Linked DNA regions of Macaca fascicularis. The protein of the gene in region 7 interacts with the protein of the main gene of each other region in a biochemical or structural test. Links are inferred from orthologs where the notes say so. Each region holds a gene or a part of one and is shown on either strand. Other genes may lie near its edges. The genes, in order: PSMA3, GADD45A, PARP1, ESR1, CDK2, DTL and CDKN1A.

Region 1 (4,253 bases), on a different chromosome or scaffold from region 7:
AGTATCTATTATGTTAGTCCACTACATGGAATACAAAGGTGATCACTCATTCATTAAGTCCTTCAATTTCAAATCAGACATGAATCTAGGTGCTAGAGATACAGCAGTAAATCAGAAAAGGCACTAAGATGAAAATAAAAGAGTAAAGCAATGGAAGGAACTACTACAGACTACATCATCAGGGAAGGCCTTCTGGGGCAGTAATATTTAGGCTGAGTCAAACCTAAATGACAAGAAGCTAGCCATTTAAGATATGAAGGAAAAGCCTTCTTGGCATTTGGCACAAAGATCTTAGGGTAGAAATAAGGCTAGCACAGTCAAGAAACAGAAGTAAGGTCACTGTGTCCCGAGCACTGTAAGCAGCAGAAAGAAGAGTAGACTGTGTTAGTGAGGTAGCTGTGGGTCAAATTATGTTGGGTCTTCCAGGCTGCAATAAGGACTTTGTATTTTATTCTAAATGCAACGAGGAATTTAAGCAGGGGGAGTGGTATGATCTACATTTTAAAAAACATCATTCTGGCTTTATGTGGAAAATGAATTCTAGAGAGAACAACAGAAGCAAAGATGAGGTGTTCCAAAGATCGTGGTACTAGCTTAGACAAGAGAAGAGGTAGAAGGGAATACTTTTTCAGAGTATAGTAAAAAAATAAAAATAATAAAAATAAACTTGCGAGGCCGGGCATGATGGCTCATTCCTGTAATCCCAGCACTTTGGCAGGTCGAGGCAGGCTGATCACGAGGTCAAAAGATCGAGCCCATCCTGGCAAACATGGTGAAACCTCGTCTCTACTAAAAATACAAAAATTAGCTGGGCGTGGTGGTGTGCACCTGTAGTCCCAGCTACTCGGAAGGCTGAGACAGGAGAATTGCTTGAACTGGGAAGCGGAGGTTGCAGTGAGCCAAGATCGTGCCACTGCACTCCAGCCTGGCGACAGAGCAAGACTCCATCTCAAAAAATAAAAAAAAAACTTGCTAAAGCGTTGGTTCTGGAAGTAAAAAAAGGAATTAAAGATGAATCACAGATGTTTTCATATGACCATTCACTGAGCTGAAGACTGTAGTAGATGCAAAATGGCAAGGTAAGGAGAAAACCCAGAGCTCTACTTTGACATGCAGTACAAAATAAACAATCAAGTGGACAGACGTGTCAAGCAGACAAACAATTATTCATATCTGGAGTTCTTGGGAGAAATGAACACAGAAGATAAGCCTTCAACAGTGGTACTTTCTGAGTCTGTTTCCTGATCTGTTTTTTTTTTTTTTTTTTTTTGATTCGGAGTCTCGCTCTGTCGCCCAGGCTGGAGTGCAGTGGCCGGATCTCAGCTCACTGCAAGCTCCGCCTCCCGGGTTCACGCCATTCTCCTGCCTCAGCCTCCCGAGTAGCTGGGACTACAGGCGCCCACCACCTCGCCCGGCTAGTTTTTTGTATTTTTTTAGTAGAGACGGGGTTTCACCGTGTTAGCCAGGATGGTCTCGATCTCCTGACCTCGTGATCCACCCGTCTCGGCCTCCCAAAGTGCTGGGATTACAGGCTTGAGCCACCGCGCCCGGCCTCCTGATCTGTTAAACCCAGATCATTAACCCTACCATTGTTACTAAAATATCCCACATGGTTATATTATCAAGTATTCTTTAAAAGGTTTGTAGAATGAAATACTATTAATTGAAGGTAATAATATAATTGCAAAGTCAGTTTGCTACAAGATTTATTATTGAGCATTTACTTATCTAAGAAAAGTATGGCAGAACTTTAGCATTCATAACCGAATGGATTAAACCATTCCAGACATAAATTGCCTATTATCAAATTTAGAACACCAGTACTTGAACTTAAGGCTGAGCATGAGAATCTTGTTAAGTAGAAATTGAGGAACTGAGAAACTCATTATTCAGTAACTCTAGTGCAAATAACCAATAAATCTTGTAGAAACTGTATTTTCTATATAGAGTACATAAAAGGAGTAAACTGCACATATACATACGTTTAACAAAGGAAAACCAAACAAGTTAACAAGTCCCACTGCAAAATCCTCAACAGTCTATCAAAAGTCTGAAGCTGTTAAGTTCCTAAGTAACCACTTAAACGTTTACGGGATAAATGCCTACAAGTGCTGTTAGGTACTTTGTATAGGAAAAACAAGGACAAAGGAAAAACTGAAGGATTCATCAGATTTAGTTATTCAGATCATTTTTATTAGTTCTGTTCCGACAGGGTTTCCAGTGACTCTTAAACTGAGCGGTCGATGATCTGCACACTTAAAGACAGAGAAGGCCCGTGAATCAGCAGCAACCTGGGAACTGCAAACGCAGTCCACAGAAAGCACGATCTCCGGACCGTGGAATCTCAAATCTCACTGCCTCGGTGGTTCTCAAGAGAACACACTATTTCAAGCCCCACGAGTTTCCACTTTCGGTTTCCCTAAGTGGCTGAAGAAAGTGACTCAGCAATCCAAAGCTGCTCCAAACCTCACCGCGGCGACGCCAAGCCGGCTACACCTGGGCTGAAAAGCTTCAGGAGTCATGGTCACCTGAGACGCAGGCCTAGCATATAGGGGATAAAGACGACCGGTCTCCAAACAGCTGCAAGTGGCCCACCCAGCCGAAGGCGGTCTTAGAGCACCCCAGGTCCGCGAAACCCTTGTGGTCTGTCCCAGTTCCCTTCAACCCCAAGCCTTAGGTTAAACTATCACACCCAGAGACAGCAAACTCACCCCGGTGCCGATGGAGCTCATCGTGCTAAACCCAACGGGACGCGTAAGGATTCCAGGCCTAGAGCGCTGCCCCTACACCACAGGATGCCGCAAACTAGTAACAGACCCGCTCATTGGCTGCATCGCCAACCAATAACCTTTTTCTCTGTGGCTCGTTCCGCGGCTCCGGCCCCCAGGACCAGGAGTATTGTGGGAAAGAAGCGGGACGCTAGAGGCTGGCGGCGCGCATGTTCAGAAGCAATAGAGGCGGGGTTGGGGAAAGCAAAGGCTCCGCCTTTAGTTCACGTACTTTGAGTTTTTGGCGTCGTTTAATCTGAGAAGCTGCTCTATTCCTTTCCTAGGAATTATTATTTATCTTTTTATATTATTATTCCCTCCTCGTCACTGTATTCTGTCTTTAAGCAAAAGGGAGAGATGCTCGTATACTCACAAAGAATAGAAAAAGCAGTAGGGGCGAAGTAACCTGTCTTCCTCCGCGTCCCCATCCTGACCTAGAATCTTGATGGCATCCACCTCACCTTCTTATGCCAGGCTCTCGGGAAGTTTCGCTTCAAGGGTATCGTCTTTGAATTCAGCTTGGAATTTTACACAAGTATTAGTACTCTTTCTATGAGTATAACGCTTTTTGGTAGAGTTAAAGATATGTCTGATTAAAGATATTTATTGAGCGCTAATGTATTCCACGTGTTGAAGAAAAAGCTGTAAACAGAACATACCACCGTTTCTAATGGAATTTACATTCAGTAGGAAGAAATAGATAACGATAAATAAGCAAAATAGTAAGAAGGAAGAGTGCTTTAATAGAGAATGGAGATACTAACTTTAGGCAGTGTGCTCAGGGAATGACTTTCTAAGTGAGTGATATTTAAAATAGGATAACAAAAGAGTGGTTGAGGGAACAGTAAAAAACTTGGCTTGCGCTAGGAACTGTCACGTCAGAGTGACCCCTCATTAAGTGGGGAAGAGTGACAGGAAGAGAACAAGTGCACATGACAGCAAATCTTGAAGTGGTTTGAATTTTAATCCGATTGTAAATAGGGCATCAGCCTTTTTTTACTCCTAAATATTAATACGTCAGTGTGTATTTCCCCCCCAACACAGGAACATTATTTTACATAGACACAGTATTATTGTGAAAATTAGAAAACTAGCAATACTGTGATCTATCAACTTTCTTTTTTTTGGGGGGTAATTTTCCCTATAAAGTCCTTCATAGCTAAAGAAAATCCAAGATCACACCTTGCATTCAGTTGTCTGCTTTAGTCTGGAAAATAGCTGCTTAGTATTTCTTCAGGTTTTTTTGTTTGTTTGTTTTTGAGACGGAGTTTCGCTCTGTCGCCCAGGCTGGAGTGCAGTGGCGCGATCTCCCGCTCACTGCAAGCTCCGCCTCCCGGGTTCACGCCATTCTCCTCCCTCGGCTTCCCGAGTAGCTGGGACTACAGGCGCCCGCCACCACGCCCAGTTAATTTTTTGTATTTTTTAGTAGAGACGGGGTTTCACCGTGTTAGCCAGGATGGTCTCGATCTGCTGACCTTGTGACCC
Region 2 (4,211 bases), on a different chromosome or scaffold from region 7:
GCTTCCTTCTTCATTTTCACCTCTTTCCATCTGCAAAGTCATCTATCTCCGGGCCCCCAGAACATGTAGTTGAACTCACTCAGCCCCTTGACATCAGTTTCTGTAATCCTTGCATCAGTGTAGGGAGTAACTGCTTGAGTAACTACAAAGGTATTTCAAAAACTTCAGTGCAATTTGGTTCAGTTATTTTCATTCAGATGCCATCACCGTTCAGGGAGATTAATCACCGGAACCCACTGATCCATGTAGCGACTTTCCCGGCAAAAACAAATAAGTTGACTTAAGGCAGGATCCTTCCATTGAGATGAATGTGGATTCTGGAAACAAATTTAGAAAAATAAACTTATTTTTAAAAAATCGATATTTGCTAGTATTACACTTTTGAGGAGAAGACACTTGAACATTCTATATTTTGGCTACGTGACATGGAGACAAATTAGAAGCACAAAAAATTAAAGTTTCTTCAAAGTAGTTGGGTTCCGTGCAAAATCGTTAAGGGTAATTACCTATTAAACTACACACTGCAAAGTCTGAACCCATGCAACCCAAGCTGAACCACATACATATGTTTGCATATCTGTTCAGTTTTGCATGAGAGTATCATTCACGGGTTTGCTCTACCAAACTTGTTACCCTGACCTGAGTGAAACAGTTTTGAGAAAGATTTCCATGCTGTGTGCACAATGAGATGAGAGCTGCACAGCAGTTAACTGGAATTGCCATCAACTCTACTCCCAAGAGACAGAGTAGTACTTTTAAGGAGTAGCAAAATAATCCGGCTGTCACTTGACTAGACCAGTCAAAAAGCAAAATTTAGAAGACAAAAGTAGCACACTTATCCCTGAAAACATAACTTCCCTACCTACCAAAGGTTTTTATCAGAAGAGTAAAAAAAAAAAAAAGGCCCATTAAAAAAATGCAAGATTGCAGAGAAAAAAATTCCACTCTATCCTCTTAATGTATTTCTAGGGAATTAACAAGGTTTGTCTCCTACACAATTTCTATTTTTAGCTCTGACTGGCAGAGAATGAAGCTGACTCCTTAATGAGGGGTGAGCCAGGAATTCATTTGGCTTTATCTAATCTGCCCTGCTAAAGGAATTAGTCACGGGAGGCAATGCAGATGTAGGTAGGGAGTAGCTGGGCTGACTGCTGACTCACAGGGATCTCTTCCGCTGCTGGCAGTCCCCAGCATGCTTAGACATGTTCTGTACCACAGATTATCCTGATGATGAAACTAGTACATCTCGGCTGAAAGTCCAGCCACACTCTCGTGGGGCAAAGGCAGCACCCTCCTGACCCAAACCTACCCCAGATCCACAATCAGGCGACCCAGCCCTGACTCCCGTCCTTCCGGGGCTCTACCCCGCAGGCTGCAGTCCCCCTGCCCCTTACCGTCACCAGCACGCAGTGCAGGTCCGGGGGCTGCTCGGCGCCCTCGGTCGCCGCGGGGCCAGCGTCGGTCTCCAAGAGCAGGAGCTCCGCCAGCCGGCCCGGGTTGCTGACGCGCAGGATGTTGATGTCGTTCTCGCAGCAGAACGCCTGGATCAGGGTGAAGTGGATCTGCAGAGCCACATCTCGGTCGTCGTCCTCGTCCGCCGCCAGCAGGCACAACACCACGTTATCGGGGTCGCTGGGGGCAGCGGGCGGGGCCAGTGAGCGCAGAACCGCGGACGCCCTCAACCCCTGCCTGGGTCTCCGGGGGTCGCCGCCCGGCCAGCTCGCCCCCTCCCCTCCGGGACAGGCAGCCGCGGGGGCAGAAGAAAAGCGACAGGAAGTGGCGCGGCCGGGCGAGGGGCGCCCAGCCAAGGCGACCTCCCGGGCTAGGGCGGGAAGGGGTGCCACGGGAGACGCGCAAGGGCCCCACTTACACGTTGAGCAGTTTGGCCGCTTCGTACACCCCGACAGTGATCGTGCGCTGACTCAGGGCTTTGCTGAGCACTTCCTCCAGGGCATCCCCCACCTTATCCATCCTACACGCGGGCAAGGGCGAGGGGTCCCGTCAGCCCCGGTGCCCTCGGGCCCATCGCCGCCCCCATTGCCCGGCACCACGCCCCTCCCTCTCGAATGCAAGCACCACCGCGCACCTGGGCTCTCCGAAAACCCGGCGCTCCCGCGGCCCCGTCACCCCCCATGACCCCTGCACGCCCAAGGACCGGGCGTCCCATGAGAAGTCCCGAGAGTGCCCCTGCCACAGGCTGCTAGCCCCAGGAGCCGCAAGGGCAGCGACGGCCACTGCTGCCCTTTGCAAAGGCCCCGGCGGGGCTCGTTCGGGTTGCGGGGCATGCTCTTTCAGTCCGCGGACGCTACACGGAGAGTCCCGAGGGAGCAAGGGCGGGAGTTGCCCTGTGCAAACTTTTCTGCTTCCTCCCCTGCAAACCTTCCACAGCCCGCCTGCACCCGGGAGCGCGGGGTAGGTGAGAGAAGTTCGGGCCGGAAGAGTCCGCAGGCCGATTTACCTTTCGGTCTTCTGCTCTCCAGCCGAGAATTCCTCCAAAGTCATATTGCAAACTGCAGGTCGCCCACGGAGAGAGCGCGGCGTGCGGGCTGCTCCTGCCACGGCGAGCGCGCCAGCGCCTGCTTTCTGCACTCACTCACAGGCGCCGCGCCGGGAGCTCAGGCCCCGGCGCTGTCCGGCTGCCCCACGCCCGCCCGGGCTCCTCCTCCTGTGCCAGCCGCCGCAGCTTCGGCCACCCCTCCCGCCCCGCTTGCTCGTTCGCTCGCTCTCCGGCCCTCGCCTCGCCACCGGCCTCACGACACTAATTGGGCAGCTGCCTCGCAGCCACTGCTTACCAGCCACTGGAGGACAAAGGGCCCCGCTCGTCGGCGTTATCCTGCCAACCCTCAGCCAACCACCTTCCGCCTCATTTGCATGCATCTTGGCCATTGGGCTATGCAAATCAGCCTGCTCCGGCAATTTGACCCTAGCTCCTGGAGTCAGGTTGAGAGGAGCGGAAAAGGGAGGAGCCACGCGGGAGGCGAGCCGAGGGGGCGGGGGCGGGGGCGGGGACGGGGGCGGTGCAGAGAGAGGAAGGCGGGTCCCGCGCGCTCTCTTATCCGGTTGGCGGGGACCACTGGGAGTGGAGGGCTTCAGCAGAGGCGGGAGGTAGCCTTAGCTTGGGCTGAAGCAGGCTGCCAAGTGTTTTTTTATAATAGTCGCGGCACTTTTTTCTTATTATCGTTTCATGCCTTTTGTTTTAAGGGGTGGCTATTAAAATCTATTTCCAGGGTTAATGCACCTAAGTCTAGTAATTATTAGTAAGCAGTTTACATTAAAAAAGTGTCTCCAGACCTCTGGGGCAAAGTTTACCTCAGAAGTGTTGTTTATCTAAGTCTAGGCGAAGCTGCTTATTAGCAGTAGTATTATTTCGGTGCCCTGATGGCTGGTTTGATTTATTTTTGGAAAGCTGCAAGGGTTGGAAGCTCAAAAAAGAAAAACCAACCCGTTTGTATTCAGGGATGGCAGGGAACCAAGTTGGAGTCTTTTCCACAGAATGCAGAACGGTTTCCCACCTGCCCGCTGTAACTGGGAAATCGTGAGCTGGTCTGCGTGGGGAGCTGGTGACCACATGTGGGAATCCCTGGCAACCCAGATTCTCCTTTCTCAAAGAGCCTTGCCCAAACAAGGATCCTTCTGGACGCCCACCAGTCGAGAGACAACCATCTGACACCCACACAGCCCACAAGTCTAAATTCAAAATGCTCTTGATATGCCCTAAGCTTCCTTTCCTAACGTATGTATGTCACTACCTTCCACAGAGAGCCTCCTGTGTGATCTCACTGTGAATTATTGATGTTAGATGCTGAATCATGAAGCCGTAACTATAGGAAGTTTTTAGTCATATGCTAAAATTTCACCTTTGAGATAATGGCAACTTGCAGGTGGAAAGCAGACCTTTAAAACTGCAAATGGTAGTTACACATTTTGAAAAACAAACTTTAATATATAGACTCTCACTGAGTAGTTCAAAAGTCCCTTCCTTTGTTTTATGGTTTATGCAATAAATGCAAAAACATTTCTTAAACCTACTGAAGTCACCAAAAGTGGTGAAAACGGCTCCCACATGCTTGCATTCAAAACAGTGCTTGCATTATTAAGGTTGCTGTACAGCCAAAGGTCACAGAAGTAATTTTTTGCAAAGGTCACCTGGGAGTTTTGCACCCTTATGTTTTTATCACTCTAGACAAAATATTCTCCAGCTCTCTTGATCT
Region 3 (3,500 bases), on a different chromosome or scaffold from region 7:
GGGAAACTGCTCAACCTGTATTCTCATCACTTCGCACTGCTCTGTAAGATGTGCGTAGATCTCTGCCAAAACAGAAGTTCATGGTTCAAGTATGTTTGGAAAAGGTAGGGTGAAACAAAAGGTAAACAGGTTTCTGTGTGGGTCTGTTATGCCGACTACCACTGTAGGTCTTCAGGAACCAGAGAAATACAACACAGGATTTCCCATACATATTTGACATCAGGGTGTTTTTTCCTTGGAGTGTCTGTTAACATCGTGCTGTAGAATGGCTTGGAGAAGGCTGCCCTGGCTCATCATACCTTAGAAAAGGGGGAATATTGCTGATCAAGAAGATCGTTTGAATGAAAAACACTCTTGGGAGCATTAGACTTGGAAGCAAAGGAGAGCTGTGGATGTTGAGGGTTTGGAATTACACAGTAAATATAACTATAGTAATTTGAGGTTTCAGTTTTGTTTTAAACTTATATTTCATTTTTTTTTTCCTTTCAATTTGAACAGAGGAGGTGGAAAAGATGAATAAGAAGATGGAGGAAGTAAAGGAAGCCAACATCCGAGTTGTGTCTGAGGACTTCCTCCAGGACGTCTCCGCCTCCACCAAGAGCCTTCAGGAGTTGTTCTTAGCACACATCTTGTCCCCTTGGGGGGCAGAGGTGAAGGCAGAGCCCGTCGAAGTTGTGGCCCCAAAAGGGAAGTCAGGGGCTGCACTCTCCAAAAAAAGCAAGGGCCAGGTCAAGGAGGAAGGTGAGGGCCCCAAGCTGCCCCCTCCAGGGCCAAAAGCCGGGGACATTGGTGGCCAGGTTGGCCTGCACAGAACCTGTCCCTTTGTGTCCCAGACATGGCCTGTTGAGTGCTGCAGAGCAGGAAACAGAATGGCAGGCGCTTTGGGGTGGTGGGAGGAGTGTGTATATAGATGCCAAGTTGACAGATCATGCGAATGAGAATGACTCATTTGCCTTCTACCTTCCCCTTACTTTTTAGTTACGTTTAACTTCGTGTTGACATTTTTCTGTTCCCTTCCAAGGTATCAACAAATCTGAAAAGAGAATGAAATTAACTCTTAAAGGAGGAGCAGCTGTGGATCCTGATTCTGGTAAGCAAACAGGACTGCCAGCCGAGTGGGCCACGTGCCCCACCCCCCACCAGCAGACTAGGAGCACACATCCGAATGCCCGCAGCACACCTGGGGCAATGTGGTCGTGGCTTTCCCCTCAGGCCTCTTTCACCAGCTCCCCCAGTCCTGAGAACACACATTTCAGGGGAACCTCCTGAAGGTGGTATTAGTGTATCCAAAAGGCATGAACCTCAGGCCTGCAAACCCCTTCTCCCTGAGAGCGCTAGCCCCTCAAGGGGAGAGAAAACTGTAGGTGCTTTGCCTCCGGGACAGGACTGGAACACTCTGCGCATGTCCTGGAGAAAGGTGGGAAGGTCTTCAGTGCCACCCTCGGCCTGGTGGACATCGTTAAAGGAACCAACTCCTATTACAAGCTGCAGCTTCTGGAGGACGACAAGGAAAGCAGGTGAGTTCTGTAGATGTAGCCTGGTTGTGCAGAGACATGGGCCCGTCCTGCATCAGTCAATGCTGTGCCATCAGCCTTGTGAAACCCATTAGGCCCAGTGCCTAGGGAATGAAATCTAATCACAGAGATCAAAAACGAACCATGAGGCCTTTGTTTAAAGGGGAGAAAGAAGCCACTTACTAACCAGTAGCATTGCTGTCCTTGTACAGTTGTCTTAAGGTATGGTTTCACGTATTCTCCCACTGGCTTTTCTTTTTGTTTGGTGGGTTTTTTTTGTTTGTTTGTTTGTTTTTCCAACTATTTGTTGTGTTTTTTGAAACAGTCTCACTCTGTTACCCAGGCTGGAGTGCAGTGGTGTAATCACAGCTCAGTGGAGCCTGGACCTCCCAGGCTTAAGCAATCCTCTCACCTCAGCCTCCCAAGTAACTGGGACCATAGATGCACACCACCATGCCTTATTTTTTATGGAGACAAGGGCCTCACTATGTTGCCCAGGCTGGTCTCAAACTCCTGGACTCAAGTGATCCTCCCGCCTCAGCCTCCCAAACTGCTGGGATTACAGGCATGAGCCACTGCACCCAGCCCCAGCTGGCTTTTCTTTCAGCTGCTTGAATCAAGATTTTCTAATTTTACATATGTTTTAAAACTTTGAAGCAAATAAAGGTTGGCAAGCGTTGAACTTACTTTTTAATGTTCAAACTCCCTAGTAACTAAAGAGGTTTGGATTTGCCTTTTTTTTAATTAACATGATGAGACAGGCAAGGGTGTATTCTGGATTGTGGGGTACAGCAGCTGGGAGGTGATGAGAGGGTGGGCTGGCTTTTGTCCTTACGTATCTAGGCAGAGTGGTCCTTAGCTAGTGAGTTCATTGCCCTGTGGTACAGCCAACACAAAACAGGATTTATGTGTCAGTGGAAAGGCGTATGGAAGGAACTCTTATTAAATTCTAACGTTGATTGTGGATGTGTACATTTTTCTGGTGGCTTAGATTTGCTGGTGTTAAGTGAAAGGGTGGTGTGGGCTGTTAGGGTCAGAAAAAATTTTCAACATAGATCAAAGTAGTGCTTCCCAAAAATTTTCACAGGAAAAACCAAGCAGAGAATGAATTGTTAAACCCCTGTGCAGTAGCCCAGAGAATGGCCAGGGAGTCCCAAATTTTCTTTGAAGTCCATAGTTCTGTCTTTAAAATGTACACAAATCTTGTATGTGGGTTTATGATATATCTGTATTTCTTATGAAATGAAAATTAAGTTTTGAGTTTAAAACTTTTAAATTAAGCAGAGTTGTCCTGGAGAAAGGTGGGAAGGTCTTCAGTGCCACCCTCGGCCTGGTGGACATCGTTAATTTAATTTAAAGTTAATTTAAAGTTAATTTAAAAAATTAACTCTGCTTTGAGTTAATGAAAAATTAGCTCATCCAAAGCTAAGCAGCACAGCAGCTGGATATGTGTGATGTGCACCCTCAATTGAGATGGAATTTGAACATGACAGCCTGCATCTCTAGGTCACCGGACCTGAGGAGCCATTGCCACTGCGCCCCTCATTTCATTGTATCTTAGCCTCGGATCTGAGTTGAAAGTTAATTATTTTTAGGGTACAGCTTTAAGGGTTGTCTCCTTGAACACATGACTTCCAGACAGTACTTTGTATTTCTTTGGGGAGAGGAGTAGAATCGTTTTTATGCAAAGGTCTACAGACTCCAGGATTCACTCCTCAGGCTTGGCTGCCAGAACCAAGTTTAAACTATTATGTGGCATTTTTTTATAGTCAATATGATTTGAAAGTTTAATGAGAGGTAAGATAAAGACCCTTTATTGTTATAGCAGTTCCTTTTGTTCTGTGTTAATCACTATCCTTTTGGGGTGTGTAAAATTCTTCCACACCTGAATGTAATGGTAAGAAAGGGGAACTTCTCCTGAAATGGGACAGCTGACCCACACTTGTGCATCTGACACCCTCCTTCCCACCACAGGTATTGGATATT
Region 4 (3,500 bases), about 75 Mb from region 7:
CCTGCTGGCCGTGGGGCTGCAGGAAAGGCGACAGCTGCGGCGGCGGGTGCAGCAGCATCAGCGGGCTCGGAGACACGCTGTTGAGTGGGGGGAAACCCCCCAGGCCGTTGGAGCCGAACGCCGCAGCCTCAGACCCGGGGCCGTACGGGAGGCCAGTCTGGCCGTAGACCTGCGCGTTGGCGGCGGCCGCGGCGTTGAACTCGTAGGCGGCGCCCTCGGGGTAGTTGTACACGGCGGGCTTGCTGCTGTCCACGTACACCTCGCCCAGGGGCCGCTCCAGGGGGATCTTGAGCTGCGGACGGTTCAGGGGCTCCAGCTCGTTCCCTTGGATCTGATGCAGTAGGGCCATCCCGGATGCTTTGGTGTGGAGGGTCATGGTCATGGTCCGTGGCCGTGGCCGTGGGCAGGGCGCAGACCGTGTCCCCGCAGGGCAGAAGGCTCAGAAGCCGGCGGGCCACCTGGAAAAAGAGCACAGCCCGAGGTTAGAGGCGACGCAGCGCATGTCCCGCCGAGACGCGAGCTCTGGCCCCGGCCCTGACCCGGGAGCCTGCGGGTCCGGTGAAGCCTGGCGACCCGACGGGAGCAAGTGCAGTCCCGGGACGAACGCCCTCCGCCAGCTCCCGGGCTCCCGGGCCTCCAACTTTAAGTACTGGTCTCCCGAGCTCATATGCATTACAAAGGTGCTGGAGGAAGGCCAGGGACTGTTGCCTTGCCCTGACATTGGCTTAAACATCACTCCAGGCACAACTCGATTTGGAGCGATCCCAAAGAGCAGCTTCCCTGAACTTTACTTTACTTGTCGTCGCTGCTGGATAGAGGCTGAGTTTCACGGCCAGGGGGCGGGGGCGCACGAGGATCTGCTAAAGGTGGCCCAGGGAAGACCAGGCTTAAAATAAACGCGAAAGACGAATCCAGGGGCCGGCTTTCTCTAATGTGCTGCCTTATGTGCCCCGTGCCAGACTCCAATATATCTCTGTTTATCTCTCTTTCTGTTTGATTCCCCCTCCTCGTTGGCTAGAAATACGTAGTGTGTACATAGGATGACCCTGGGGAGGACTACACTGTAACCGAGATAGGGCAGATAGAATGGGGTGTGTGGTTGCATACGCAGCCAGCCACAGACAGCTATATTTAGCAGCTGGGGGAACTGACAGGGGGCATCTGAGGGGAAGGGGGGCGGAGATTCAGGGTATACATATAGGAAGAGCTGCATTTTGCCATCAGGAGAATGCAACCTGCCAGGACCTCAGTTTCTTCCTCTGCAAAATGCTCCCAAAGTGGACCCCTTCCACAACCTTCTGAGATTCTCTCAGCTGGACTTGTGTGTTTATGTTGGACCACAGTACTGTACTTGGTCCCATTAGGAATTCTCATGTGAAGGATGATTCAGAAAAACCTTTGGTTAGGGCGCACATGGGTGTTCATGCCTTCCACAGGTTAGTTATGCAACCAAAACTTCAGAAAACTGAATATAAAATGTGACCTTTTCATACCCAACATAACCTCAGGTCATGAACCAAAGCTTTGGCAATTATGTGACATTGTCGGTCTGGTTCAGCTAACAGATTTTTAAAATGCATTTCTGCATGTCTATTCTTTAGTCCTACAACTCGATCTTGTCGGTTCACTTGGGCTAGGATATGCAGAATCAAATATCCAGATGAAAAACAAATAGAAAAAAGTTTTTAACTGAATTAAAAGTTAAGCATGCACACACACATACGCACACACACACATACATATACATATTAAGGACACAAAAAATACGGAAAGTATGTCATGCATCTATAATCTTGGAGAGTTTATACTTTTAATAAACTTCCTTTGCTGCAGCCTAATAGACTCTGGTACAACTATCAATACTTTATTTTAATTGCTATCCCAAACACCCAACAGAGTACCTGACAAAGTGTTCATGGTATATCTAAATGCCAAGCTTACTGTTACTAATAGTTACATTTTTGAATATTTTATATCAAGTATACATTTTATCTAATTCCTACAAAAACAGACCATTGTCGGACAATATACAGATTAGCTGATTTAATATGAAGCCAAAATCGAGTTTAGCATTAATGACTATAGATTGTCAGCAACTAAAGGGTTAAAAACACATTAGGTACATCACAGATATTTCCCTTTATGGCCAGCAATCATTACTTTCCAAAGCAATTTTTCACAGATGATTTAGTTTCCATAAATCACACTTTCAATTTTCAAATGCCTTTTTAAAACACACGCAAAAAGCACTTCATAGGGCTCTTAAAAAATCTGAACCTGCCAAATTATATGCAAATGGCACAAAGAATCCTACAAGTCATGAAAGAAAAAGGAGACACACACGTACCCCCATGGAGAACAGCAATCCTCATCTCCCTGCTAGGATACAGACACTAGCCAGAAAGGTAAGTTGCTTTCTCAAAATGCTAAAGCTACAGAGAGAGAAATCAAAACAAGCCTACCCTGCTGGATCAAGAACGTCTTTCCAGAAATGTTCCATGGGCTTGTAGAAGTCAAGGGCCGAGACAGTGAGAAGGAAGGAAGGAATGTGCTCGCATGTGCGAGTGGCTCAGTGTGTGAACTAGGCAGAGAGCGTGTGTGGATGTGTTTGTGCGTGGAATGGCAGGGATTCGGGAAGCAGCCAGTAGGCAGGGCACTTGGCAGCCCCTCCCGGCAGACACGCAGCTGGGCTACTGCACGGCGCTGGATGAATGGCAGTGGGGAGTGAGGGGAGACTTGCTGTCTGCTCACAGGGAGCAGCGTGGCACAGCCAGAGAAAGCTGTACTGGGGAGGAGAAACTCCAGCCCCTTTGCCCCTTACCCTTGGAGGCTGGAAAGTACCCTATGCTTTCCGCTGCCACCCCAAGCAAGAGGAAAAACAGGCTTGCTGTGAATCATACTCTTACGGCTAAAATAGAATGCCAGTCAAAAGTGTATGGATATCAAGTTTACAAAATAGGACATGGGTGGTTTTTCCGAAAGAATATAATTTAACAATAAAAGCCTTCTGGGATACATGTGGATCAAATGCCTTACTGGCCCTAGACCCCAGTCTCTGAACAGAGGCATTGCCATGCCTCCGATTGCACCAGGAAACCAGACTTTGGAATAAATGTTTTGGCATTCTAGGGATGTGTTTCCAGCTGAAATGTAATACTCCTCCACTTCGTTAACCAAACCCACAAACCTTTCCACGAATAGCTCAGTTGACTGCTTTCTGTAAACATGTGAAAAATACATATTATCAAAAGCCTAGGATATGAACATAAGATAAAGGTAGATACCTTTGTTTTCAATTGATTTTAGGCTTTCGAGTTGCACTGACAGTGATCGGGAAAGAGGTCTCTCGTTTTCCAGTGGCGTTCACATGGATCCACCTCTTGACCACTTTCTCAACGTTTCTCTTGGCCATAGTACTAACATGCAATAATGAGGTGCTCCTAGAGTGCCCACGCTCAGGGCCCCAGGACACATGACACCCAATGGAGCCTCTGTTGCCA
Region 5 (4,019 bases), on a different chromosome or scaffold from region 7:
GGCAAGCCTCCATACCATCTCAGCAAAGATGCAGCCCAGGCTCCAGATGTCCACGGCTGTGGAGTAGTATTTGCAGCCCAGGAGGATTTCAGGAGCTCGGTACCACAGGGTCACCACCTGAGGGACAGGAATAGGGAGAGGTGGAGTGGTTTATAGGGTATGGAGATTCCCACATCTCAGTTCCCCAACACTACTCTGCTAACTCATGGCCTCTTAACAAGCAGTTTCCTTCCCTCCCTCTTTCCCCTCTCACTGATTTCCAGTCCATAGTTCTGGAGACCATATTTTCTGAACCCCCAATTTGAGATCTTCCTGGAAAAACTTGAGACAAATGGTCATAATTTGATTTCGAAATTTTTTCTTTTTGTAGATTTGTAGAGATGGGGTCTCGCTATGTTGCCCATGATGGTCTCGAACTCCTGGGCTCAAGTGATCCTCCCACTTCAGCCTCCCAAAGTACTGGTATTACAGGCGTGAGCCCAGTTAGCAACACAGTATGAATTCCATGCATGCCCTAAGACTCTTGAAGATGTCAAGAGATTATTTCTACCTAGTAAGAAACTGTTAGCCAGATATTTTTAGTAAATTTGTGAATACCCTAGTTAACACCTCTTGGGAAGCTCAGAGAAGAAAGGCATAAAGGGACTCACCTCATGGGTGTAAGTACGAACAGGGACTCCAAAAGCTCTGGCTAGTCCAAAGTCTGCTAGCTTGATAGCCCCCTCTGTGTTAATAAGCAGATTCTGAGGCTTAAGGTCTCGGTGGAGGACCCGATGAGAATGGCAGAAAGCTAGGCCCTGGAGCAGCTGGAACAGATAGCTCTGACAAAGAAGAAAGAGAGGACTGTGTTTCTCCATCACAGTGAGCAGACTGGGTTTGCTCTGTGACCCCAAAACTCTACTAAAGCCTTTATATGTTGGATTATAGTTACATATTTACAAGCTATTTCTCCCAATGGACTGTCAGCCCAGAGAGGATAAGGACCAAGTCTTACTCAATTTTGCTTCCCTTTTCTACATGCTGTGCATTGAACAAATGTTTGTTAATAAAGTAGCTCTGGGAGTGAAGAATCCAGCCCTAAAATAGACAATAGAGACTTACTAGCTGGTTCTTCCACCAAACAGAAGGGCTTTTTGGAGGAATTTACCAAGTGCTCTCAAATCCCATTTATCTGAGTTTCATCTGACCTCCCACCTGAGTTGCTAGGTTGACTCACTAGAGTTTCAACTTTGATTGTTCAGTCCAACCCTAGGGTTAATGAATATAATGAGCAGGGAAGGAGACACAAAAAGAAGGGGAGTGTGTGTGTGTAGGAGATGAGGGCTCAGAAGGAGGCCAAGATCATAAAATATCACCCTGAATTGCCTGCCACCAGAACCCCAAGACATGCCCATGATGGGAGGAGCTGATGAGAAGCATTACCTTGATGAGGGGAAGAGGAATGCCAGTGAGAGCAGAGGCATCCATGAATTTCTTGAGATCTTGGTGCAGAAATTCAAAAACCAGGTAGAGTTTATTTTCTGTGTGAATGACATCCAGCAGCCTAGAGAAGTAAAGTTTGAGGAAATGGAGGTGCGAGAGAGAGAAAAGCCCACACTGTACAGACAACTCATCCTCCTTTCCAGCTGGATTGCCTCTCAGACACATACTCACTTGACAATATTAGGATGGTTAAGCTCCTTAAGCAGAGAGATCTCTCGGATGGCAGTACTGGGCACACCCTCAGTCTCACTTGGAGAGGTTGGGAAAGCAGAGACGGGAATATGGTTACAAATATTCCTTTTTCCCCCACCTAGTCATTTCTTTCCCCCAAGGAGACACCACCCAGCACCCCCTAGGAAAGTCAGAGAAAAGAAAGGGTGCTGGAAAGAGCTAATTCTTGGGTAGTCAGGGTGTGGCTTTTGCACATATTAAGGTCATTATCTTGTCTTTTCCCAGGGGTAGGTAAGTAAAGCCGTCTGGTGAAGGTGAAGCAGGGAGGCTGTAATGGGGGGAAAAAAAAAAAAAGCAGGACTAGTCCCCAGTCTCTCCAGAGGGGCCAGTGAGGTTCAACTGCCATTCTTTGGAAAGAGGAGAGAATTCTAAGGTGAGGGTGGGGCAGTGAGGAGAGCTCTTCATTCAGAAAGGCGCTCCTCGCCCGTTCCCACATAACTCCACTCCATGGAGAGTCTTGGACCTCATCTCAGAGGCCTCCTTTCTCTCCCCGAGTCTCTGTGTTCGCACATTTGGGGGCACGATCCGGCTCAGTTTGGGAAGAAAGTTTTCCATGGATTCCACACCATCCTATACTCTCCCCAGGGAGTATAAGTATACACTCCACCTTCTACTGGCCCCCAACCCACCTCTCCACTTCTAAAGAAGTCCGTCCCTGTTGTCTTCCGGTCCCTGGACGGCTACCCGCCCGTGGGGGATTGGGGGGGGACAGTCAAGGAGGTCCCCAGTTAGGAGTCCCGGGTACAGAGGCCACTCACGTGTCCAGGCGGATTTTCTTAAGCGCCACCACTTCTCCCGTCAACTTGTTTCTGGCTTTGTACACAACTCCGTACGTGCCCTCTCCGATCTTTTCCACCTTTTGGAAGTTCTCCATGAAGCGCCAGCGAGTCGGGTCAGCCCGGCCCTGGAGTGGGGGCCTGGGAACCCTGCAGAAGGCGGACCCTGGCTCTCGGGGGCCGAGGAGGGGGAAACAGGGCCCAGTATCGTGCCCCCGGGTCGGGATGGAACGCAGTATACCTCTCGCTCTTGTCAATTTGGCCAACTTGAAACAATGTTGCCGCCTCCCCCCGAGTTCCCGACCGCCACCAGAAGCCCCGCCCCTGCTTCCCGCGTTTCCCTGGCTCCGCCCCCAGGCATTTCTATTGGTCAACGTCAGAGCCGGGGGGCGAGTGCAGCGCTCCTCCCCGCAAATGACCCCGCCCCAGGCAAGTTTGGTTCTTCGGGGGCTAGACAAATTTCTTTCTCGGTGGGGCGGCTGAACAGTCTTCCCAAGTACCTACTTTGGGTCCAAGTTTCCTACCTGTGTCTCTAGTCTGTAGGGATTTCTTGATTTCTAACTCACTATTTTCACCACTCCTGGGAAAAATATGTATCGACCTAAGGTTAAATTCCACCTGGCCCAGGAGCCTCCTTTGAAAAGCAGGAAACTAGGAATCTCGTTGTAAAGAATTCCTGGGCCTCAGAGGAGTCATTGCCTCTGCCTCATAGCCTACCCCGACGCTGTCTGTGTTTTGGGATGCAGGCTTCTGTTTCTGTTTTTTTGAGAAGTTCCTGGTTTAATTCACTCTCCCATGATGAACTGTTGTGTCTGGTATGTGTTATGCAGCTGCCTTTCAGTCAGCCCTTGCCCGGGAGTATATGAGAGTGACCCAGTGAAACCAGAAACTGCCATTGAGTAGCAGGATGGGAAAGCAATGTCTAGGGACCAGGATCCCTTTGTCAGTTTTTCCTTCTTCCTCTTCTCTGGCCCCTCCCAGGCCTTCTCTGAGGGAGAAGAGGAAGGGCTATGCAAATGAGCACCCTTTTCTTATATAGGGGCCTATCCCAGTCCCCCCAGTGCCTTTGGTTGCTGGAGGGAAGAACACAATGGATCTGGTGCTAAAAAGATGGCTTCTTCATTTGGCTATGATAGGTGCTTTGCTGGCTGTGGGGGCTACAAAAGGTATGTGTGGATATATGGACATAAGCAGGTGTGAACTTGGGGATGAATTCCCCCTGCTCTGGTTTCTCTCCTCCTAATGGGAGATAGCGGCAATATTTCAGGCGTCTCCCACTCATTTGATTTAGTGAGAATGTGGGCACCTGGGCTCCCTCCCTACATGGAGATTTGGGATTGAGCCTGAAAATAATCTCATATGCTTGGAGGGGCAGAAGAATAGAAGGTCTCTGTGGCACTGATTCTGAGGCTTCCTTGGCAGTGAGCTGGAGCAGGGGCTCCAAAGGGGTGAAATGTGCGGGAGACTCTTTTAAGAAATGTCTCTTGGGGTAGGAGATTTAAAGTGGGGAGTCAGAGAATGTAGTATTGG
Region 6 (3,500 bases), on a different chromosome or scaffold from region 7:
CATATCAGGTCTGTGTTTTCAAGTTGCCTTCATGCTAGAAGTAGAGGGTTAAGACAATTATCTCAGTAGATGAAATGAAAAAATACTTTATTTCATGGAACAATTTGTTTAGATTATTTAAGGAGTTATGTACGGAGATGTAACCACAGGGACAGAACTTACTACTTATGATATCAAAGGATATATGCAGAATATTAAGGCTTAGGAAGTGTTTTTTCTAAAAACAATGGAACAATTACTATCGGCACTCAACCTTCATCTTCCTTTTCCGTTCCCTTAGAGTAAACTCCAGTAACCCATCACTGGGTCAAATCACATCTGTTTCCGTTCTGTCAGAATTATAAGCCTGGTATTGGAGACAACAGTGTAAGATAGTTTGATTTGTTTCCCAATTAAGTATCCTCACTGTACCTAGCTAATGTGACAGAAGAGTTAGATTAAAAGTCATTTCACATTTAGTGTAATTGAAGTTGTTTGGGGTTGGAAGAAGGTCTACAAAATATTTATTTGCCTTGGTTTTTAGGATAATCAAAGTATGGGATTTACGTAAGAATTATACTGCTTATCGACAAGAACCTATAGCATCCAAGTCTTTCCTGTACCCAGGTAGCAGCACTCGAAAACTTGGTAAGCCTTTGTATAGGTCTTTTGGGGGAGATATGAGTTTTTGTTAAAAACAAACAAACATTAGGCTAGTTTCCAGTAACATTGATATGAAAAATTCTAATATGTGAAGTTCAAAAGATAAAAACTCAGAAGAATGTTTTTGGTTTGTGTATATTTTGGGGACAAAGAATTCTGATGATTCTTCTTAAGGAACGATCTATTTTTGTCTGTACGTTTTGTCTCTACCTCACATCTACTCACCATCATCAGGACATGCTAACTTAAGTTTACTTTTTCCAGGATATTCAAGTCTGATTTTGGATTCCACTGGCTCTACTTTATTTGCTAATTGCACAGACGATAACATCTACATGTTCAATATGACTGGGTTGAAGACTTCTCCAGGTAAGACATTAGTCATTCAAATTCTCTTACCAGGAAACCATTATGGGCTTTTTTTTGGTAATGATAATTCAATGGGTTTTCTTCTAAACTGAACTTGTTAAGCCATATGAGGACTTTGACATCTTTGATTACATCCGGTGATAATTTCATAAGTGTACATTCCTTGTGATTTCATAAGTAAGCGGAATTGTGCTTTACATGGTGACTTAATTTTATTTTAATAGAAAATATCTCCTGAAATTATACCGTTTGGCCTATATTTAGAATTCTCTCAATTTTTGATTTAATAAGCTGTGGAGTAGACAAAGCGCTTCTGCTCAGCTTTTGTCCTCTTTAGGGGCTGCTGGTTAAAATTAGGGGACTGAATTTCTCAGACCCCCAAAATAGTTTTAGCCTATCTCAGCCTTCTCCTTAATGTTAAAGAGAGGCCCTTTTATTTCTAGATGTTTTCCCCAGCCTCGCCTTTTTTTTTCCCTCAAAACTATAAAAATAGAATCTGATACTTACAACTAATAAATGATAGTTTTAAAAAGAAAACCCAAGTTTCTCAAGCATGCTTTCCTCTTTTTTTAATCTTCTCCCCTCCCTCTTCCAAATCACCAGCCTCAGGCATGCTTTAAGAGAGTTATTTGGGTTACGTTATTTTTAAGAACATCAATTTCTTAAGCTACATCTTAGTAGCCTGGTTATTCCTCATCTATAGATCTTTCAGAAACACTTTGAATTCCATAACCAATCCTCAGAGTTACCCAGCTTCCACTAAAGTGAAATGGTTTGATAAACAAGAAACCTCAAGTACAGAACTTGTCATTTTATTTACTTTTTTTTAATCTTTTATTTTTTATTTTTTTGAGATGGAGTTTTGCTCTCTGTTGCCCTGGCTGGAGTGCAGTGGTTCGATCTCAGCTCACTGCAACCTCTGCCTCCTAGGTTCAAGCAATTCTCCTGCCTCAGCCTCCCAAGTAACTGGGATTACAGGTGCCCGCCACCACGCCTGGCTAATTTTTGTATTTCTAGTAAAGGCGGAGTTTCACCTTGTTGGTCAGGCGGGTCTCGAACTCCTGACTTCGTGATCCGCCCACCTCAGCCTCCCAAAGTGCTGAGATTACAGGTGTGAGCCACCGTGCCGGTCCAGAACTTGTCATTTTAGCTGAGATCTTAAAGAAGTTTCCAAAGGTCACTCCAAGCAATCTTATTAGGACTTTAGTATTGGTGGCAGTATCATAGTCGGCATTTCTGATGCTTTGCACTGGGTCTGATTTTCTCTAAGCAAGAGCAATAATGTTTAGAAAAGGGAAGAGGTGTTTCTTTTGCTGCTTTCCTTAATGGAATCTGAGCTTGGAGAACTGCTAATTTAGTTAATCAAAAATCTTTCCTTGAAAGATAAAACCTAATCCTGATTATATTATCAGATGTACAAGAGCTCTTTCTATATAATTTTTGCTGCAGTGTGGCACTGAAAAGGGCCTTGAGTTTAGTGTCCTGCCGTCAAACACTTCGCTAATGATTTAGTAAACCTTTTGTGTGCTTCTATTTAATTTCATTTGCTCAGATGGATAGATAGGTAAATAGATTAATAGATCAATTTGTTCCTTAAAAATTGAATGACAGCTGGCCATGGTGGCTCATACCTATAAACCCAAGCTGAGGCTGGCGGATCGCTTGACCCCAGGAGTTCAAGACCAGCCTGGGCAATATGGCAATATGGCAAAACCCCATCTTGACAAAGATGCAAAAAATTAGCTGAATGTGGTGGCATGTACCTATAGTCCTGCTACTCGGAAGGCTGAGGTAGGAGGAGGTTTGATCCTGGGAGGTTTGAGTCTTCAGTGAGCCATGATCTTGCCACTGCACTCCAGCCTGGGTGACAGAGTAAGACCCTGTCTTAAAAAAAAAAAAAAAAAATTGAATGACAACTCTGTGTGTGTGTGTGTGTATAACATCTTGTAATTACTTGTCCTTTTCAAAACTTCTGAAAGGATCTTGGATTTGATACTTGATCTACCATGCTTTGTATTTATGGTGTTATATTAAGTGATGTTCATGAGGATGACTTTGCAAGATTAAATTGAGCTCATTAAAGCCAATATGCATTTTAGGAGGATTTTTAGCAAGGTTTAAACATTTACAGTGCATATCATACCAGCCTTTCTTAGACCAGCAGAGGGCAATAAATCCTTACAGGTATAGTGGGAAATTCAGGCTAGAGTTTTCCATTCATAGTTCAGAGTTGAGGAAGATTAAAAATTACAGTTTTAAAACAATGTTCAGAATAAAGGAGCTTGTTTATTTTGCAGTGATAATAGGTGTATACAAATTGATTCATATCCTGCCTCACTTTCACAGTAAAAATATCTGATGTGAGGAGTATTTGCTATGCCTGCATAGCTTTTTCCTTAAAAGCTATAAATACAAAGTTCTTTTCCAGCTTTATTCTAGAAAATGGAAGAGATTCCTGTAAGCACTTATGGAAAGCTGTTAAGTCCCCT
Region 7 (3,306 bases):
CCCTGCACATGTCCTCACCTGTCATGCTGGTCTGCCGCCGTTTTCGACCCTGAGAGTCTCCAGGTCCACCTGGGGACTCTTCAGGCTGCTCCCCTGAGCGAGGCACAAGGGTACAAGATAGCGACAGGTCCACATGGTCTTCCTCTGCTGTGCCCTGCAGCAGAGCAGGTGAGGTGCCAGGCCGCCTGCCTCCTCCCAACTCATCCCGGCCCCGCCGGGGCCCTGTGGGAAGGTAGAGCTTGGGCAGGCCAAGGCCCCGCACACGCTCCCAGGCGAAGTCACCCTCCAGTGGTGTCTCGGTGACAAAGTCGAAGTTCCATCGCTCACGGGCCTCCTGGATACAGCCCGCCATTAGCGCATCACAGTCGCGGCTCAGCTGCTCGCTGTCCACTGGGCCGAAGAGGCGGCGGCAGGCCTTGCTGCCGCATGGGTTCGGACGGACACTGCCAGCCTGTTCTGACATGGCGCCTGCAGCAGAGACACAAGGAAGGCCCTGGTCACCATGGAGACTGGACACTATGTTACCTGGCCGGGCTTTGCTGTGTCACCTCAGGTGACGTCTTCCTACCAGAGGGTCTCTCTTGCTCCTTCCAGCTGGTCTTCCTGCGTCCTTCCCACAGGAGGCCTGACCCCCACCAGCAGAGCGCAGCCAGCCTGGCACCCCAAGGTCACTGGCAGAGCAGGCAACTGAAGGGCAAGCTAATGTCAACAAAGGCAAATTTACTGCAAGAGCAAGGACCAGGGTCCTGTTTGCCACCAGGTATTTTCAGCTAAAATCAATTTGTTTTCCCCCCAGAGGTGTCCCTCATGGGTGTGAATGCCCCTCAAATACATGTGAATTGCCAGAGTCCAGCAGTTTCCTAATCCTAGCCATGGCCAGGCGGTCAATTCTCAGAAGAAGGAACAGTCGGACAGTTCCTCCAGCCTCCTGAATCCCCCTACCCAGATCCCCAAGTAGGGTAACCCTGCTCGACCAAGTAAAATTACCCTGGACTTTGGGGCAAAAAACACCCGGGTTGTGGTCCTAGCTCTGCCAGTTACTACGTAAGCTTTAAAAAACCACTTAATATCTCTAGGTCTCAGTTTCCTCACCCTTAAATGGGCCATGTGCAAGTTTAAAGAGCATGGCTACGGACACCTACTCAAGCAATTGATCAGGGAGTCCATGCGCAAGGCAGACAGAACAGAGCTGAGTGAAAGGCTGTGTCTTGGTGGTTAAGCAGGAGAGCTCTGGACTCAGATCATCTGGGTTGGAGTCCAGGTTTTACTAGGTGACCCTGGGCAAGCAACTTAACTTGTCTGAGCTCTATTTTCCTTGTCTATAAAATGGGGATATTACTGTCTCAGAGGATAGACATGAGAATTAACTGAGTTAACGTAGGTAACGTGCCAGCAGCACTTCGTATACAGAAGTGCATGGAAAACAGAAGTATGATTATTCCTCTCTGCCTTCAGTTTTATTGAGCCTCCTCCCTATCACTTCCCCCTGCCAACTACCTCCTTCAGACAGCAGCTGACAGGTGCTGTAGGCTGAGGGCCTTTCCCAAGGATGTCGTCAGGCGGGTGGCCTAGGGGTAAGGAGGGGCCGGGCGGGGCAGCGCAAGGGATGATTTCTCCCAGGCTGAGCCACATCCTGCCAGGCACATCAGGTGATCTGAAGTCTAGACACCTGGCAGCCTCTGCCCCGTGTTGCCTGTGTCCAAGGAACCCGTTTTGCAGGCAAAGAAAATTAAAGGTGGCTGGTCTACCTGGCTCCTCTCCTCCCACTTCAGGAGAGGGAAAACGGAGGGTGAGTTTGCCCATGAGGGAGCCCTGGCACCTACCTGCCTGCTCTGGCTTGACTCCAGGGCTGAGTGACTGCACGACCTTGGCAGCAACTGGGTTTTCCTAGGGACAAGTCCCAACTTGCAGGCTCTGGGGGGGAAAGCTCTGCTGAGTCCTCCTGAGGCAGGAAGCCCGGGACACATGCCACATCTGCTCCACCCCACCTCACCCCACTGCTTGTGATCAGTGCAGCCCACAGTTTCACGTCCCAGCTGGTTGGAAGAGGAGGCTCTTGGTAACTTCACACCAAGTTTAAACGGCAGGAGATGGAAGAGATATGAGACTTGTCCCTAAGTCATACAGCTAAAAAGGCCAAAGGCCACTGTCCCATAAAGGGGTCACCCAGTACAGTGGACAGAGCCCTCAAATAACCTCTGTCCACCCTCCGCTAGGCATGAGTTGGGATTTATTTATATATTTTTATGTTTGGGGGCTGTTCTAAGCAGTTTAAAAATATCAGTCCTCCTAAAAAGTGGATATCTATTAGCTCCCTTTATACAGAAGAGGCAACCAAGTCTCAGAGAAGTTAAGTGACTTGCCCAACATCACACAGTTCACAAGTGGCACAGCCAGGATCTGAACCCAGGCCTGTTTGCCCTGAGTCCTGTGCTCTAGTGTTGAACCCCACTCCCTCTCTAATTTTGAGGTTTCTTAACCAGAGAGGCCCATCAGAATGACTTGGGGAGGCCAGGGGCAGTGGCTCATGCCTGTAATCCTAACACTCTGGGAGGCAGAGATGGGAGAATCATTTGAGCCCAGGGGTCCAAGATTAGCCTGGGCAACACAGTGAGACCCCGTCTCTACTAAAAATAAAAGTAAATAAAAATTAGCTCGGTGGCTGGGTGCAGTGGCTCACATCTGTAATCCCAGCACTCTAGGAGGCCAAGGCGAGCAGATCATCTGAGGTCAGGGGTTCAAGACCAGCCTAGCCAAGATGGCAAAACCCCATCTCTACTAAAATTACAAAAATTAGCCAGGCGTGGTGGTGCACACTTGTAGCCCCAGCTACTTGGGAGGCTGAGGCAGGAGAATTGCTTGAACCCAGCAGGTGGAGGTTGCAGTGAGCTAAGATCATGCCACTATACTCCAGCCTGGGCAAAAGAGTGAGACTCCGTCTCAAAAAAAAAAAAAAAAAAAATGCTGGGCATGGAGGGTCACACCTGTGGTCCCAGTTACTTGGGAGGATGAAACAGGAGGACTGCTTGAGTCCAGGATGGTGCCATTGCACTCCAGCCTGGGTGAGAGTGAGACTCTGTAAGAAAGAAAGAAAGAAAGGAAGGAAGAAAGAAAAGAAAGAAAGAAAGAAAGAAAGAAAGAAAGAAAGAAAGAAAGAAAGAAAGAAAGAAAGAAAGAAAGAAAGGAAGGAAGGAAGGAAGGAAGGAAGGAAGGAAGGAAGGAAGGAAGGAAGAAAGAAAGGAAGAAAGGAAGAAAGGAAGGAAGAAAGAAAGAAAGAAAGAAAGAAAGAAAGAAAGAAAGAAAGAG

The links.
Region 1: the proteins of CDKN1A (region 7) and PSMA3 form a complex in vitro, tested with the Homo sapiens proteins (4 studies listed by BioGRID). The link is inferred for Macaca fascicularis from reciprocal best matches to the Homo sapiens genes CDKN1A and PSMA3.
Region 2: the proteins of CDKN1A (region 7) and GADD45A form a complex in vitro, tested with the Homo sapiens proteins (3 studies listed by BioGRID). The link is inferred for Macaca fascicularis from reciprocal best matches to the Homo sapiens genes CDKN1A and GADD45A.
Region 3: the proteins of CDKN1A (region 7) and PARP1 form a complex in vitro, tested with the Homo sapiens proteins (2 studies listed by BioGRID). The link is inferred for Macaca fascicularis from reciprocal best matches to the Homo sapiens genes CDKN1A and PARP1.
Region 4: the proteins of CDKN1A (region 7) and ESR1 form a complex in vitro, tested with the Homo sapiens proteins (2 studies listed by BioGRID). The link is inferred for Macaca fascicularis from reciprocal best matches to the Homo sapiens genes CDKN1A and ESR1.
Region 5: the proteins of CDKN1A (region 7) and CDK2 form a complex in vitro, tested with the Homo sapiens proteins (9 studies listed by BioGRID and IntAct, with this or other methods). The link is inferred for Macaca fascicularis from reciprocal best matches to the Homo sapiens genes CDKN1A and CDK2.
Region 6: of the proteins of CDKN1A (region 7) and DTL, one has a biochemical effect on the other in vitro, tested with the Homo sapiens proteins (3 studies listed by BioGRID, with this or other methods). The link is inferred for Macaca fascicularis from reciprocal best matches to the Homo sapiens genes CDKN1A and DTL.

Annotation. Positions count from the first base shown.
Region 1 is NC_088381.1:126,091,285-126,095,537, reverse strand, and holds the start of PSMA3 (proteasome subunit alpha type-3), read right to left. Parts: upstream 2,801-4,253; 5' UTR 2,733-2,800; coding exon 2,712-2,732; intron 1-2,711. UniProt on the Homo sapiens protein: Component of the 20S core proteasome complex involved in the proteolytic degradation of most intracellular proteins. This complex plays numerous essential roles within the cell by associating with different regulatory particles.
Region 2 is NC_088375.1:166,989,841-166,994,051, forward strand, and holds the start of GADD45A (growth arrest and DNA damage-inducible protein GADD45 alpha), read right to left. Parts: upstream 2,801-4,211; 5' UTR 2,503-2,800; coding exon 2,459-2,502; intron 1,973-2,458; coding exon 1,871-1,972; intron 1,633-1,870; coding exon 1,395-1,632; intron 318-1,394; coding exon 204-317; 3' UTR 1-203. UniProt on the Homo sapiens protein: In T-cells, functions as a regulator of p38 MAPKs by inhibiting p88 phosphorylation and activity.
Region 3 is NC_088375.1:84,293,744-84,297,243, reverse strand, and holds part of PARP1 (poly [ADP-ribose] polymerase 1), read left to right. Parts: intron 1-498; coding exon 499-741; intron 742-1,021; coding exon 1,022-1,090; intron 1,091-1,384; coding exon 1,385-1,517; intron 1,518-3,488; coding exon 3,489-3,500. UniProt on the Homo sapiens protein: Poly-ADP-ribosyltransferase that mediates poly-ADP-ribosylation of proteins and plays a key role in DNA repair.
Region 4 is NC_088378.1:60,008,960-60,012,459, reverse strand, and holds part of ESR1 (estrogen receptor), read right to left. Parts: intron 2,579-3,500; exon of another isoform or gene 2,463-2,578; intron 459-2,462; 5' UTR 383-458; coding exon 1-382.
Region 5 is NC_088385.1:62,746,645-62,750,663, reverse strand, and holds the start of CDK2 (cyclin-dependent kinase 2), read right to left. Parts: upstream 2,801-4,019; 5' UTR 2,588-2,800; coding exon 2,472-2,587; intron 1,732-2,471; coding exon 1,654-1,731; intron 1,544-1,653; coding exon 1,423-1,543; intron 822-1,422; coding exon 651-821; intron 118-650; coding exon 16-117; intron 1-15. Other genes in the region: melanocyte protein PMEL, read left to right, coding at 3,580-3,655. UniProt on the Homo sapiens protein: Serine/threonine-protein kinase involved in the control of the cell cycle; essential for meiosis, but dispensable for mitosis. Phosphorylates CABLES1, CTNNB1, CDK2AP2, ERCC6, NBN, USP37, p53/TP53, NPM1, CDK7, RB1, BRCA2, MYC, NPAT, EZH2.
Region 6 is NC_088375.1:69,875,851-69,879,350, forward strand, and holds part of DTL (denticleless protein homolog), read left to right. Parts: intron 1-523; coding exon 524-627; intron 628-906; coding exon 907-1,011; intron 1,012-3,500. UniProt on the Homo sapiens protein: Substrate-specific adapter of a DCX (DDB1-CUL4-X-box) E3 ubiquitin-protein ligase complex required for cell cycle control, DNA damage response and translesion DNA synthesis.
Region 7 is NC_088378.1:134,983,452-134,986,757, forward strand, and holds part of CDKN1A (cyclin-dependent kinase inhibitor 1), read right to left. Parts: intron 469-3,306; 5' UTR 464-468; coding exon 19-463; intron 1-18. UniProt on the Homo sapiens protein: Plays an important role in controlling cell cycle progression and DNA damage-induced G2 arrest. Involved in p53/TP53 mediated inhibition of cellular proliferation in response to DNA damage.